Linked DNA regions of Caenorhabditis elegans. The protein of the gene in region 2 purifies or fractionates together with the protein of the main gene of each other region. This does not show direct contact. Each region holds a gene or a part of one and is shown on either strand. Other genes may lie near its edges.

Region 1 (7,267 bases), 7.9 Mb from region 2:
ATATAAGTTTGTCTTTCACGTTTCAATTAGATTTTTTTAGTTTTTTTAAAAGTGTATAACTTATAGTCTATAAGACGTTTTTCAATATTCCTTTTGCCACCTTTGTCAATTTTTACACAAGATGTTCCGAGAGACATTTAGGAAGCATAAGAGACCATACAAATTTAAACGCGTGCCAAGATTGTTGTCAACTACTACAGAATGAAAAATAATGAAAAAACAAAAAATTGAAACTCACAATTTACCCGTTTCAAAGTGTTCCAAGCAGCCAAAACGTATCAACAATTTTGATTTGCTCTGTAATATGTATTTTTAGAAGTAAGTGTTTATGGTCAAAGTCATAGTCCAAGCAGTTTATTTTTAAAAACAATTGGGTAATATTAATTTTCTAAATTTTTTTATTACTTCTCAACTCCATTATTCTAATTAACCCCATACTATCCACTTTATATTCCATTGGTGGTCATTTAATGGGAGTCCATGAATTTATAAACAAATACATCGAATTCAGGCAGGGGTGCACGAATTCTATGCCGTCCTCTTTCAATTCCCTCAGAATATCCGTTTCGTTTTCCATTTTTCCCATTTCACAACCACATGTGCCGCTCCTTCAGCTGGCGACACTAGACAGATTTTTTAGCGGTTAGATTTCGCGCATTTCGATTGAGGTTCTCTTTCCAAACCATCTGCATATTTTGGAAACCTTTCACCTACATGCTTTTCTTCTCTCATTTTATTTTATTGTTTTTCGAAACTCTATCCTTCTTCTGCTCTCCCATCTCTTTTCCTCCAGTTTTTCCGCAGTTTTCCCATAGTTTTCCGCCAAATTAGACGCAATTACTTTGTGGTTGTCTCTTTAGGCTCTTCGTCTCGTAAATACGATTGTCGGAAAGTTTGACAGAGTGTCTTGAATTTATACAAGCTCGGTGTTCTGTATCATGCTGGTAAAACTGACTGAGCTTAAAGCTTCACTCTACTTAAGTAGAGTAGCGCCAGTGAGGAAATCTTTTAATTATTTTCCTATAAGGATCTTATGTTCTTAATATAACCAAATACCGTATTGGAACTTTTCAAGCAATTTTCGAAATTTTTTTATGTACAGTCAAAATTGACAGGCACAGTTTTAACCTATTTTCGTTTTTGAAGTCGACTAAAATTGTTTTTACTTTTCTGCTTATTCCTCCCTCTATTCGTACTTAAAATAGTAGAGAAAAAAATTAAACATGCAATATGGCTCCAAATTTCTCAAAAAGTCGGAATTAAAAATAAATAAAAAATATTTGGAAACTTTCCAAAGGTTTGAATGGACACACTGTCAGTCTCAAAAATGTATCAAAATAATAGCTTATTGCAACTTTGAACATTAGTACATGTTACCTGAAACACACACAAACAATACTGTCAGCATTTCCAAACATTTCTCTGCAGCTCTTTCTCAGCGTGACACCTCTCTTCCTTCGCTTGTAATTCCTTTAGTCGGCTTGAAGCCTCTCATGCATTCAGAATAAGAGGCTTCTGAGCTGTGCTCATCCTAGTGCTCTCTCACCTCTCTTATTCTATTTATTCCCTTTTTCTTCTGAAGCTTCTCCCTCTATTTCTAGTTTAATTATTCCAAAGTGTTGATCTTCGGAGGCCTTTTGACACACACCTTTCTCTCTTGTTACTCTCTTTTTTCGATTTATGGGTTGCCAAACATTGTGAATACCGCAACAAAATCACCTCGTCTCATACAAACACATACAAATACCTACAAATGAGTCTTTGGCGGCATTATTCGATTTCGTTCATTTTTTCTCCTTTTTTGAGTCATTCTACATTCATCAACAGATTCTAGTAGAAATTATTACTGATCCAGCTGAGCTGTTTGAAAATTCAGAATGTAGAAGCCAAATTTAATTTGAAATTAAGGAAATTTATAAGAAACTGTGGATGTTTGCTTGAACATGTATAACCTATTTTCAATTGGATTATTTGTCAAAACCACCAATTGCTAAATAAATTAATACCATTGTCATTTTCTTTTCAAAATGATCTGCAAACACTGTCATGCATGTCGGTTCCTACATTCTCTATCCATAACCAACCAATTCGCTGCCTATTGACAATACTCGTATATATTAATGTTTTCAATGCAATTTGAGCTGTCCTGAAAACCAGTCACATCATCAACTGGTCAACGTCCATTCTTTTCCGTTTTAATCTATTTGAGCCTTCCCTCTCCTTTTTCTTTTCTCTAAAGTTCCGAAATTTTGGAAGACATGTATTTTTGTTTCTGTTTACGCAACTGCTTTTTGTCCTCATTTTACACCGTTTTCCATGATTTTTTGAAATTTTCAAACACTGAGGCAGTTGTGCAGGCTTTAAATTTTGCTGATGGCGGTATTTAATTATTATCGTTATTAAATTATTATTTTTGTCTAGACATTTTACATATCCTTGCAATTTTAAAAATTCTATAAAAGCTAGTTTTTGGGGAATTCTGCAAGATTTATTCATTATTTAATAAGGTGATTGACACTCTGCCACTATTGGCGAAATTTTTTGACAATATCGAATATTCGAAAAAATTAATGTATTCTTTAAGTTTTGTTTCTTCTCAATAGGGAACACAAAAAAAATCATTTTCAAAACAGACAAAAAAACCAATACTTTCATCAAATTTCCTAAAAGTCAAAAGTCAAACAAGTAAAAATTATCAAAACTGATTCCATTTTTGTACATTTCCCGTTTCTTAGTACCGAAAAAATTGGCACAGACTGATTGACAAGTAATTTTAAACCGGAAATAGTGTCAATTTCATTCGCATTTTTAAATTTCCGGTGAGGGATTGAAAGAGGAGGAGACGAATTGCTTTTATCCGCGCATTGTTGCATTTTGGCACAAACAAAGATAGTAAACACCTCTTCTATTTTCTATTTCTCAAGTACTTTTTTCTTTCAATTTTGTACCCGCCTGCCTGCCACTTCATCTGTGACTCATTTTTCATGCGATCGATCATTTTTGGGAGCTCGAAATGAATAGTAGACGCAGACAATTATTGACAAATACAGACATGTATAGGTCTTTCTTGAAATTTTGAAATTTCTTTCGTTCTAGTTGTGAATCATGAATTAAGAGATATCAATTCAGTTTTAAAGAGGGTTTAGGTTTTTTATTCATCACCGGATTTGTAATAAAAATGATAAAGAAAAAACAGATGAATTTTTTCTTTCATTTTGAAACCCTCTTCATTTTTCTAATTGATTGTTTTTTTTATATTTCAGATGCGGAACATGGAAGCTGAAAGAGTTCCCCTTCAAGAACTTGGTCATCGGAATGAAAAAATCAATGACGAAATTTCCATTGATTTTTGCAACGAACGATCAAGAATTCGCAGAAATAAAGCTGAAGATTCCACCACTTTTATTTTTAATTATGAGAAGTGAGTTTGAATTTATTTATTGAAAAATAGAAATTAATCTACTCAGTAAAGTTCAAAAATTCTTTCCGTTTCAGTGGGTCTGGTGAAACTCTCAACTGGAAGGAGCTTCGAAAACTGAAATCTGGAAAGAAATGGGGTGTAATTCGTCATCCATACATTCTGAATTACGTGAATCAAAAACTCATTGACTGTGCATTCTTTTATAGTCTTCACATTCTTGGTGAGATATTTGATTTAAGGAAATATCAAATACTTTAAATATTTCCAGCTTTTCTGGTCTTTTTTCTCCTACTTGCGTGGCACGTTTTCTCTAGAAATTTGTTCAAGGACTTTTTGATCACCATTTTTACTGGAATCTTTTTTATGTTTTTGGTGAGATTTTTCAAAAGTTTTTATCAATAAATCGTTTTTTAGGTATTAAAAGGAACAATTAAAGCAAGAATAACAAAAAGTGTTTCGACTTGGTTTATTGTTGCTTTTTGCTTTAATATCTTCACTTATATGGCAACATTAGCATATGTCTGGTTACCAACTGTTTTTGGATATGATGATTATCATTTGGAAGTCAAGGTTTTTTATTCAGTAAAATAATATTTTTAATATTTTTTAAAATTCACAGAAAATCGTCACCTGGTTCCTTCCAATCATTGCAATCATCTCTGCTTGGGCAAACCTTCTCTATATAATGAGAAAATCTCCATTTGGAATTTATATATTTATGATGACACGAATTTTGAGGAGTTTTGCGCATGTGAGTTGTTCTTAATTAACTTATTATGGGGCTCTTGTAGGAAAATTTTGAAAACTAATAACCTATATCACGAAAAAAAACTGAAAAATGGTTTACTGAATTTCAAAACAAAATTGATACCAAAACGTTTTTTGTTAGGAATTTAAGGTCGTTTGACCCCAATCCCAGTCCCAATTTTCGCCGCAGAAATAAAACTTGAAACAAAAGATGGAAAAGCTTGTGCAAGAGTTGGGCAGAAATAGGTTTATACTGCGCCTCAGTTTAAATTTTTTGGTTCCAACTTTTGCCAAAATTTTATTTAAACTTACCTTGGGTTTTTCTAACACGAGTAAGTTATTAGCAAGATTTGGCCAGAAACGTTGTCGAATCCAAAAAAAAGAATCTACCTAGTAACTTGCGCTTAATTTGGGCGCGGCAAAGGCGATGTCATTTGTGGGCAAAAAAAAAAGCTGAACCAGGATTTTATGATTTTTAGATTGCTACTATTTGGATACCAACTCTCATTGCATTTTCGTTTGCATTTCTACTAATTATGAGAGACACTGGTGTAAAACCTTGGCCATTGATTGATCAACAAACTGAAAATATGACAATGGTTCAAACAATGCTGGTTATTCTTCAAGCAGTCACTAAAACATCAACAATGATGATTGGAGAAGTTGATGCAAATGATATACTTGATACAAATCAATGGATTCCAAGTATTCTTGTACTTGTTTTTGAAATTATTACAGTAATCCTCCTGATGAATTTGATGGTGTCACTTGCGGTTGGCGATGTTACTTATTTGAACAATACAGCTCAAGATAAATTACTGAAGATCAAAGTAAATTTTGTAATTGAAGCTCTTCAAATCAGTGAACAATTTCAAAATGAAATGTTCCGACTTCACACAAAAAAGACACCAAATGTGTTAGTCATTAACAGCGACGGAACTTATATTTCGGAATTTGATGTTTTCCCACATTCTGCAAGTGTGGCCATTTCAGATGAGGTAATATTTTACTTTGTGAAACTTTCTGAACAATATATGGGGAAATTAATTACTAATTAACTTCATCTTAAGGCATTCAAAATCAGTTTCATGGAAACCGGAATGCGATTACGTATCAAGACATCAAAAGGACGTGTAAAGACAGCTACAGTCAGCAAATGTGACATTGAATGCATTGAGTCTACTGAATCTGGAATTCCAGTAATCGATTCTACTCCTGATTCGAGAATTTATGAGGTGAATTCTTATTTCTCAGTAATTCTCGATTGTACTAAAATAACCAAAAAGCATAGTAACAAGTTTCGAAAATACTGTGACTTTTTGTTCTAGAGATTGGGAAATTTTTGGTATTTCAAAAAATCAACAATTGCCAAATATTAAAAAGACCCAAAAACTAACTAGAAACTAGAAGGTGCATAACTTTAATGATTTAAGGATACAAGTAGCTGCTGGAACGGATATGCCAAATGGTTGATTGGTCTCGATTGGGCTGGATATTTGGACATTTGAGTTCCCCAAAATTCTTTAAAAACTGGTTTCTGTACTACCTTTACTGCTCCTTCTCTTTATTTCCCGGATTTTCTATTTTAAATTATCGATCTCACGTTGATTTAGACGTTTTTGTTTTCTTTTGACTTTTTTAAAATATTGTATTTTTAATTTTATAATTTAATTATCGTGAACTCTGGTAATGTTGGATCTCGTTCTTTTTTTTTTGTTCTCGAGGGAAAACAAATTTATTGTTACATTCTGGTGTGAGTTGGACGAGTTGAAGATTTCAAGTCTCGAGCAATGGCATCTGGTTAGTTTTAGTTATTCAATTTTGAAGTGAAATGTCGTCGGAAAAATGAACTCTGGCTTTCGTTGGTAATGCAACCCATTTTGAGCAAATCGGTGGATCGTTTTTTTCGCTGTAATTACGAGCCGCGGAGCAACCCTCTACTCATTGCTAGCCCTAATTCTGGTAGCTAAAACCGATTTTATGGTTCGGTATTTTTCAGATACGGTTTTAATTTTTGGGCTTCAGTGAGACACAGCTTTCAAAAACAAAAAGGGTCAGAGGTCCTTGACCAAAAGTGATCACGAAAACAAAGAATAGTATTGGAAAACTCAAAATTTGAAATCCCGAAACGGGGGCGCATAAATACCAAAAACTTCAATTTTTAATGCAAGAAACGTGATCCACGTTTTTTTTTAAATTTAGTTTTTAGTTAAAAAAAACCGGAATAACAGACAGGCTATTTGTATATTACGGGAACAATAAATTATGAGAATGCGTACTTGGTGCATTTTATTTGACGCGCGATATCTCTTAGCGAAAACTACAGTAAGAACTCAAATAACAATAGATATTTAAGCTCTTACTGTAGTTTTCGCTAAGAGATATCGCGCGTCAAATAAAATGCACCGAGTACGCATTCTCATGATTTATTGTTCCCGTAATACTTCAACTTTCAAGTTTTCAAAAAGTATGAAATAAAAATTGCAGAATATTTCTCAAGTCTTCAATACATCTGGCTGAATATCGTTTTCTTTGTCTTCTCTCTGTTTCTGTTTGGAGTTTGCCTCTACGCATGTCTTTTTGTAAGATGGGTTTACAAGAGAAGATTACGTCAAAAATCTGATGAGATGATTAATGCTTATAAAGACGAAGAGAATAAAAGAAAAGAAATGGAATTCAATATTAAGAGACAAGAGTTGGAACGTAAGTGAAAGGATGATCTTTTTCTCAAGATAATTGTATCATTTTCAGCGCCTGAGAGAAAGAGAAGAAGCTCATCGAGAAAAAATAAGAATATCCATATCATCGCCAAGCCTTGCAATCATGTCATAGAAAAAAACAGCAAAGAAGTTATTGTTCGTCAAGTCAACGAGGTTCCAAATGATGAAGTTGGATGTTCACCGATTCCTCGTCCTCTTTCTCAACCGGTTCAACCCATAAATCATGTTCAACAAGCTCCACCGCCACCTCAACAGATTCTAAATTTGCAGCAGCATTATCAGACTCAATATGTTTTGGTTCCAGTTGAAATGCTGAGAAATAAGAAAAGTTTGTTGAAATTGTTCATAAATGTTTTATTTTAAATGTTTCAGTTCGAAG
Region 2 (7,486 bases):
TTCTTAGTAATGATGCAGTGAAGCGACTAAATGTTCATCTGGAAGAAGCATCAGATACTCCAAAGGATCCTTCGCCAAAGAAAAAAGAGGAAAAAACCCATCGGAGAGGGTACAGTGTAACTGAGGCAAATCCCTGGATGCTTACTCAGCTTATAGATGAAGTAGGAACGAAGCTGGTTGCTCATTGTGAACAGGCGTCTGATGTTCCAATAGATTCACTTCTAGGAGTACATCAATCCACTATGGATGATGTGAAGCTTCTGAATTGGCAAATTGATCTTTTCAACAGTCAACTTGTCCTTAAAGGGTGTGAACGTGATGGTTTCTTACTCGTATGTGCCGCGAAAACTCAACTTCTTCAGAATTTCCACCGCAACGTATGGAAACGAAGTTTGCTTCTCAGCAAAAAATCATGGAGCGCCAAAATCTCTGGAATGCAATATTTTGCTCCAATTTCTGCGACCGGCACTAATAAGGAGAAATTCCGATGGTTGCCTAGAGAAATGATCGATGAGAAAAGTCAACAGGACACCAGTGGATTTGCTGACGATTTTGTGCAGAAGTTCACCGCAGCAGGAGAAGCCGTCGGTGGAGTTGTTCAGTCGGAGGCGCCAGATGAATCAGAGGAGAAGGTTCAACTTCAGCGAATTGTTTCTCGATGTAGCTGTCAGATTTATTTCTGTTACTTCTCCGATGAGCTGAAGACAGAGTCAAATGAAGATATCTCGGTGCCACCGCAATTAGATCCGAAACATCAGTCATTGAACCCTGACGCTGTTGGAATAGATGTTCTAACTTTGAAGCATAATATGCTAGAAGCTACAAGTAACTCGGAGCAATACGAAATGGTTGTGGATATTGTAAATAATTTAGCGCTTTTCGTGGATCCCTATAAGAAAGAAATGGGCGAAAAGCGAAGGAGATTGAGATTCGAGTGTCAGATAATGGAGATGGTGGAGTTGCGAGCGAAAATCATGAGATATCAATCAGAACTCAGAGAAATTGTTTCACTCGGAAGATTTCTGGAACGGCAGTTGTTCTACCTGAGCAACGGTAATTCGAATTCGATGAATGGTTCGCACTGCGAACAACCAGTTGAGTACACGGAAGATCAGCTCGTACTTGAAGCAGAGGATACAAAGCAACGAATGCTTACGGTATCTGAGAAACTTGCCACGTATATTAGTTGCTATAAGCAACGACAGGTCAATCGGGTGAAGGAGTTTGATGAGAAAAGTGCGAAGAAAGGGATGGAAGTTGTAAGGAGATTTGAAGTTTGCTTCGAAGATTGCACTTGGAAGCTGACCGAAAGTGATGGACAGATTGCGTTGGCACAGACGCAAATTCGAAATTTCCTCTATACACGTACAGTTAGGGATAGTAACTGTGGAGATCACCTGTTCGAAGTTGGAAGTGTCCGGATTACGAACCTCCTTCCTGATTCAATATACAAGCATGCTCTGCACAGAGATGAGACTAGACTCTCAAGGCAGCCTGCCATTCGACTATTCGTAAGAGATATGCCTCCTGTTGGAGGTATAAGTGTCAAAGAGCACTTTGAGTTGAACATAGCTCCCATGGTTGCAGAGATTACTCATCGATTATTTGATAAAATGATGAGATTCTTTTTTCCTGGCAGGAATATTCATACGAATGATAACCTGGATCATGAGGAAGAAGTTTCGGTGAGATTGTAACAGTATCCAATTAATAATTGTAATATTCATATTTCAGACCTTCTCATTCACACGAAAAATTGCCAGCACACTTAGCATGCGAAGCAATAAATCTGCGTCGGAGAAGCTTATGCTTCAGAAATCTCTTCACGAAAAGGATGACATTGATCGAATGAAGGAGCGCGCCGACAAAGTCAATCATTTTATGTATATCAAAATTCCGGAAGTTTCATTTGTAGTATCATATAAGGTGAGAGCACAGAAAGGAAATTGAAAATGAAATGAATGAGTTTTTTTTATAGGGAAACAAGGACAAAAACCTGATAGATGTGAACCAATTCAACTTCATATTCCCCCTCTGTGAATACCATGAGCAAAATTGGACGTGGCTCGACTTGGCGTTGGCTGTCAAGCAGCACTGCAAACGAGTGCTCGTACAACAGTTTATGAAGCAGAAATTGTTGAGAAATCGAATTTCCAATTTTTCTATCGATCCTATTCCACAGGGAGTCAGTGAGGATGAGAAGAAGCGGATAGCAGTGGGAATTGTAGGTTTTTGTTTCAAATTTTAAAGAAACTTGAAGAAAAATTTTCCGCTTTTTCTGATCTTAATGCTGACAAAATCTGATCTAATGATTACTTAATAATAACTTGTTTTTAAATTTTTATTTAAAAAAAAATCGATTGATTCCACTTTGCGCTCCGGGCTGAGTTCGCAACAAATTATCCGTATAAGTATATTACAGCCGAATTACGGTAACACAAAATTCTGTGAATATGTTTTGCGCAACATATTTGACGCGCAAAATATCTCGTAGCGAGAACTACAGTAACTCTTTAAAAGAATACTGTAGAGCTTGTGATTTACGGGCTCGATTTTCGAAATGTATTTCTATTCGAATAGTGACAGCAATATTCGATTGTAGTCTTCGTTACAAGATATTTTCGCGTCAAATATGTTGTTTAATACGCATTCTCAGAATTTTTTTTTTTTTTGAACACGGCCCGGCAAGTGGTACATCCATGCAAATGCGCTCTACTGATAATTTGAGTGTAGACCAGGTTTGGGCGCGTGATAACGAAAAAAGCTTTGGTCCAAAAAATTTAGAATTTAATTTCGGACATTTTTTATATGCATCACAAAAAAACTGGACCAACCGTTTTTGAGATACACGCGCCCAAACGTCCAGGTATACGGTAGACAAATTGCGTACAGGTACCACTTCTCGGGCCGTGTGAAATCTAAAATCATAATCCTTCTCCACTACAACAATCGATTTTTCCAGACAACATACGATCAAAAAACACTGAAAGCCCCGAAGTGACGCCTCGCGTCCGGCCACTCATCACATTCTCCGATTAACGGGTCAAGGCCAATCGATCTTCGTCTCGTCTTCACCTCCCCCCCCTCGTCCCGAGTATATTACTGCGCTGTTGTTTGTGTGCATTTGGTACCACACTACCACCACCCCACCATACCGCCTGTCCTATACATTTACCAAATGGTCACTGGTCACCTTTTACTCGGTTTCCCCTTCTTTCTCTCGTCACCCTCCACTCACTCACTTGCAGTTTGCCCTCTCTATCGCTCTATCCACGTTGCACCGTGTGGTTTATGTGTGCTGACGTGTTCTTTTTCTTCGTCTTCCCTCTCAGCACGGGTCATTCTCAGAAAACTCATCTCAATTGTTCCTGCTGGTAACTGTTTTGTATTTATTTCTTCATTTTTAAGGCTTTACTTTTTCATTTTTAAACATAAAATGTCTAATGTACTCTTATCACCATGTCTTTTCGAATGTGGTATTTAATTATTGTTATCAAACAATTCGATATTTCGCTTTTTTCTTACTATTGCTTTTCTTACTATTTACATTTTCTTACTATTGCTTTTTTTTAAACTTTTTTGCTCGCAATATAACACCATAATTTTTGCAGGTATGAAGTCGCTTCTTGTTGTGGCGGCCGTGCTCGCTGTCGGAGCTCTTGCTCAGGGAGACGATGCCAAAGGACCAAAGGTCACTGACAAGGTCTACTTTGACATGGAAATTGGAGGAAAACCAATCGGACGTATCGTCATCGGACTTTTCGGAAAAACCGTCCCAAAGACCGCCACCAACTTCATTGAGCTCGCCAAGAAGCCAAAGGTTTGCAGCTCAAGAAATCGAGTTTCAAAATATTTTTTTTAATTTTCAGGGAGAAGGATATCCAGGAAGCAAGTTCCACCGAGTCATCGCAGACTTCATGATTCAAGGAGGAGATTTCACCCGTGGAGATGGAACCGGAGGACGCTCTATCTACGGAGAGAAGTTCGCCGACGAGAACTTCAAGCTGAAGCACTACGGAGCCGGATGGTTGTCGATGGCCAACGCTGGAGCTGATACCAATGGATCCCAATTCTTCATCACCACAGTCAAGACCCCATGGCTCGATGGACGCCACGTCGTTTTCGGAAAGATCCTCGAAGGAATGGATGTGGTCCGCAAGATCGAACAGACCGAGAAGCTTCCTGGGGACCGCCCGAAGCAAGACGTCATCATCGCCGCTTCTGGACACATCGCCGTCGACACTCCATTCTCTGTTGAACGCGAGGCCGTCGTCTAAGCTCAAATGACTTCTCTTTTTAAATATCGATCTGTGATTCTCCTGACTTCAGACACCTGAATTAAAGAGTAATTCGAGTTTCTTTTTAATTTATCGACTTTTTTGTGCGTTTCCAATTAAATAATATTACAAAGTATGTATTGATTAACACTATACGAACACTATAAGAAAAAAGAAGCGAATAAAAAAAAAGAACAAATTAACTTTTTAGTCAAATTCTGTGACGTTTACACCGAGATCACGCATTGTAAAATTTTTATTTGAAGAGATTATTTGGACGGCACAGCGGAAGGCGGATTTGATAGATTTCATGTGGCTAACATCGCGTACAGTTCTGAAAATTTAGTTTTTAGCTTATATTTCAGTGATTAACAGTCAAACCGTGTTTGAAGTGAGACAGGAAATTGATGTTTTCTTTTTTGGTATTATGAATTATAATCAACCATCTATACTATTTTAGATGTTGAGTTGAGCGTGAACACAAAAAATAATTGATTCAAAATCAATTTTTAGCCAAAAACTGAATAATCTTATCCTCGACACACGGTCATTTTTTCCAATATTCACCTGGCTGTGTTGATCGCATCAAACGGCTCCTCAACGACAATCGGACTGTTGATGAGATCACGGGGGAGATTTTCCCGAGGAATGACTTGACCCGAGCGGATTGAAAATCCGAAATTAGTGAAATCGAATTCATTATAGTACTGAAAGAATCCGATGAGCAACTCTCCAAGCGACCACGTGTTGGGAGGACTTGCTGAAAATGGTTAAATTTAGTAAGACAGATAATAAAAAGAGCACTTCAAATTACTGGGCAACTTGTCCGCAATATCGCCAAACAGAAGAAGCTCATTAAGCGGAAGTTTTCGATCAAACTTGTGCGGGAACAAGTATTGCAAGTTCGGAATGACTGCTGGAGTGACACCGCATTGAAGATAGTGCACAACGAGAAGAATCGTCGTGTAACTATTCAGAAATCCGTCCTGTGCGTTATTGATTCCAGTAACCATCGCCCAGTGCTTCACGAGTAGGGCCAGAGCTGGGAGCCGGGCATCCGTTCTGAAAATAGAAACAAATCTTGCAAATTTCATAATTGCGTTTCAAACTTGGCACACATTTTAATTTTTTCGGTTACAAAATTGAAGATTTTATCTAAATTCAGCCGAAATTTTGAAATATCTGATTTTTTGTTGAGAAAAAAACTAACAATGAATAGTAATGAATGAGATGTGAATTGTATATTCCTGCGATATTATTAACATTAATATCAACCTCAATTCCATCAAATTCTCCATTCAAAATCATTTTCACAATTGGAACTTTCGCCGGCACCAGCTGCATTGTCTTGATTATCTTCTTCAGAGGATGGCTCCAATGCGATCTTCGAAACGCCTTATCAATTTTGCGAAGAATTTTCGTCGAATAATTTCTGTCGCAGTGAAAATCGTCGCATACTTGTCCTTTATATCCATTTGTCGGAAAGCATAGACAAAGATCCATGTCAGAGTTGAAAGATCCACATCCGTTCACTGTTGAGCCAGTTGTCTGGAGCTTGATCTCTGTGTCAGGGAACAGCTTCTTGATCTCCGAGAATAGCTTTTGACGAGCCTCCATTTTCTTGAGAAACACAAAATCCGGTTGTGCATTTCCCAGGTAGTGATCCCATGCCAATTTAGACAATTGTTTGACAGAATTGAACGACTTTTTGGTGATCGAGTTCACAAACTTCTCGACGGAGCCAGCGATCCGCTCGTTGAGCACTACACCGATGGTTCGTGCCTGATAATTGACTGGCAACTGGCGAACTTCTCGGAAAATTTGATGCGTTTGGTGGCCTGGAAATAATTTTGTATTATATATTTGAAAATGGAACAGTTGGGCGAGTGTCGATATACGCAATTCGTGTACTCCTCGAGGAGGATCCTACAATTTTTGATTTCGGAGCAATCTTTTTTGTGTTGGTGTTAAAAATGTATGATTTTTCGCCTTAAACGCCTGAAAAGTTGATAATTTTCTCTCAGGCCGATTTTGTATCTAACGTGTTTTCTGGCTCCTTGCAGTAACCACCTCGAATTTCAACAAAAACTGGGTACCTGTGTATTACATGTCATCCTTTTTAAATTAGATGAAATGTTCATTAATTTCTCCATTTAAATTTAATTTTGTATGCACTTTTCCTCTTTAGGCTAAGAAATGGTTCTTTCCTAAGCCTACAGATACAAAACTATGGTACACGTTTTTATTTTTTATAATTTAAAAATACTTTAAAAACGAGGACATGTAATACACAAGTACCAAAAACTGTAAGGTGAGGAATACATTTCTCTCAAACTGTACCATTGTAGATCTTATTCTCATCTGAAGAACTGTTGGGAGTCTCCACCGAAATCACTGTGCTTGAGACCTCTTCTACACCGTTTCCTTGATCCCCTGCCTCAATTATCTGAATATCGTCATCTTCAAGCTCTTCCAGTTCGTCAGTCTTCTCCTCCTCGTCATTTGCATCCCACTCGTCAACTATATCACCTATTTCGTCCTCAGAACCTGAAACGTCTTGAATTTTTCATTAAGAAGCCTGCGATTGGACTTCTGACTTACCTTTTTTATCCGAAACTCCAGAAGAGGTGGTCATATTCAGAACAATGACGTCGTCGTCGTCTTCTTCTATATCCACTCGAGCACGCTTCATCGGTACAGCTTCCTTGTCTTCATCCTCAGATGCTTCAGTTGAATTCGCTTCTTCGTACTGCTGGACAAACTGGTTCGATTCGGGACGGGCACAGTAGACTTCTGTTGGACCGTGAAGCAGCTGTTGACATTCTCCAAAGTAGGTGTCAGAGTCGAGAGATGGAGATCGGCGGTTTTCACTAAAAAAATAGCATTTCATTGAAAGACGATTAGCAGCAATTTTTGTACCTTATGGGGTTATTCAAGTAGTGTCGGAAAATTAGAAAAATTACGTCACGACTGTATTCAAGTATATAAAAACATGTATTTAAATACATTTGTGACGTCACAAATGTATTTACATACATTTTGCTATATTACTTGAATAACCCCATTACATGTATTTTATTTTATTTTAAAAAAATTAATTTCCAACGGATTTTAAAATTAAATGTTAAGTTTAGCTAGATATATATCGGTTTGCTAACATGTCAAAAATCCTAGTAACTATACTCAATATTTTGAGTCTATTTTTACTA

Evidence for each region.
Region 1: the proteins of cyn-5 (region 2) and trpa-2 fractionate together in Caenorhabditis elegans (co-fractionation; one large-scale study listed by BioGRID). This does not show direct contact.

Annotation. Positions count from the first base shown.
Region 1 is NC_003279.8:7,179,790-7,187,056, forward strand, and holds trpa-2 (Ion_trans domain-containing protein), read left to right. Parts: upstream 1-3,263; 5' UTR 3,264-3,272; coding exon 3,273-3,421; intron 3,422-3,495; coding exon 3,496-3,641; intron 3,642-3,689; coding exon 3,690-3,793; intron 3,794-3,835; coding exon 3,836-3,991; intron 3,992-4,040; coding exon 4,041-4,172; intron 4,173-4,647; coding exon 4,648-5,166; intron 5,167-5,238; coding exon 5,239-5,403; intron 5,404-5,601; coding exon 5,602-5,676; 3' UTR 5,677-5,863; downstream 5,864-7,267. Other genes in the region: M05B5.3 (uncharacterized protein), read left to right, coding at 5,959-5,968, 6,656-6,871, 6,920-7,216, 7,261-7,267.
Region 2 is NC_003279.8:15,037,400-15,044,885, reverse strand, and holds cyn-5 (Peptidyl-prolyl cis-trans isomerase 5), read left to right. Parts: upstream 1-3,611; 5' UTR 3,612-3,613; coding exon 3,614-3,820; intron 3,821-3,869; coding exon 3,870-4,277; 3' UTR 4,278-4,412; downstream 4,413-7,486. Other genes in the region: bltp-2 (FMP27/BLTP2/Hobbit GFWDK motif-containing RBG unit domain-containing protein), read left to right, coding at 1-1,685, 1,735-1,926, 1,979-2,224, 2,963-3,001; gldr-2 (PAP-associated domain-containing protein), read right to left, coding at 4,485-4,611, 4,845-5,037, 5,092-5,339, 5,488-6,115, 6,618-6,833, 6,879-7,147. UniProt on the Caenorhabditis elegans protein: PPIases accelerate the folding of proteins. It catalyzes the cis-trans isomerization of proline imidic peptide bonds in oligopeptides.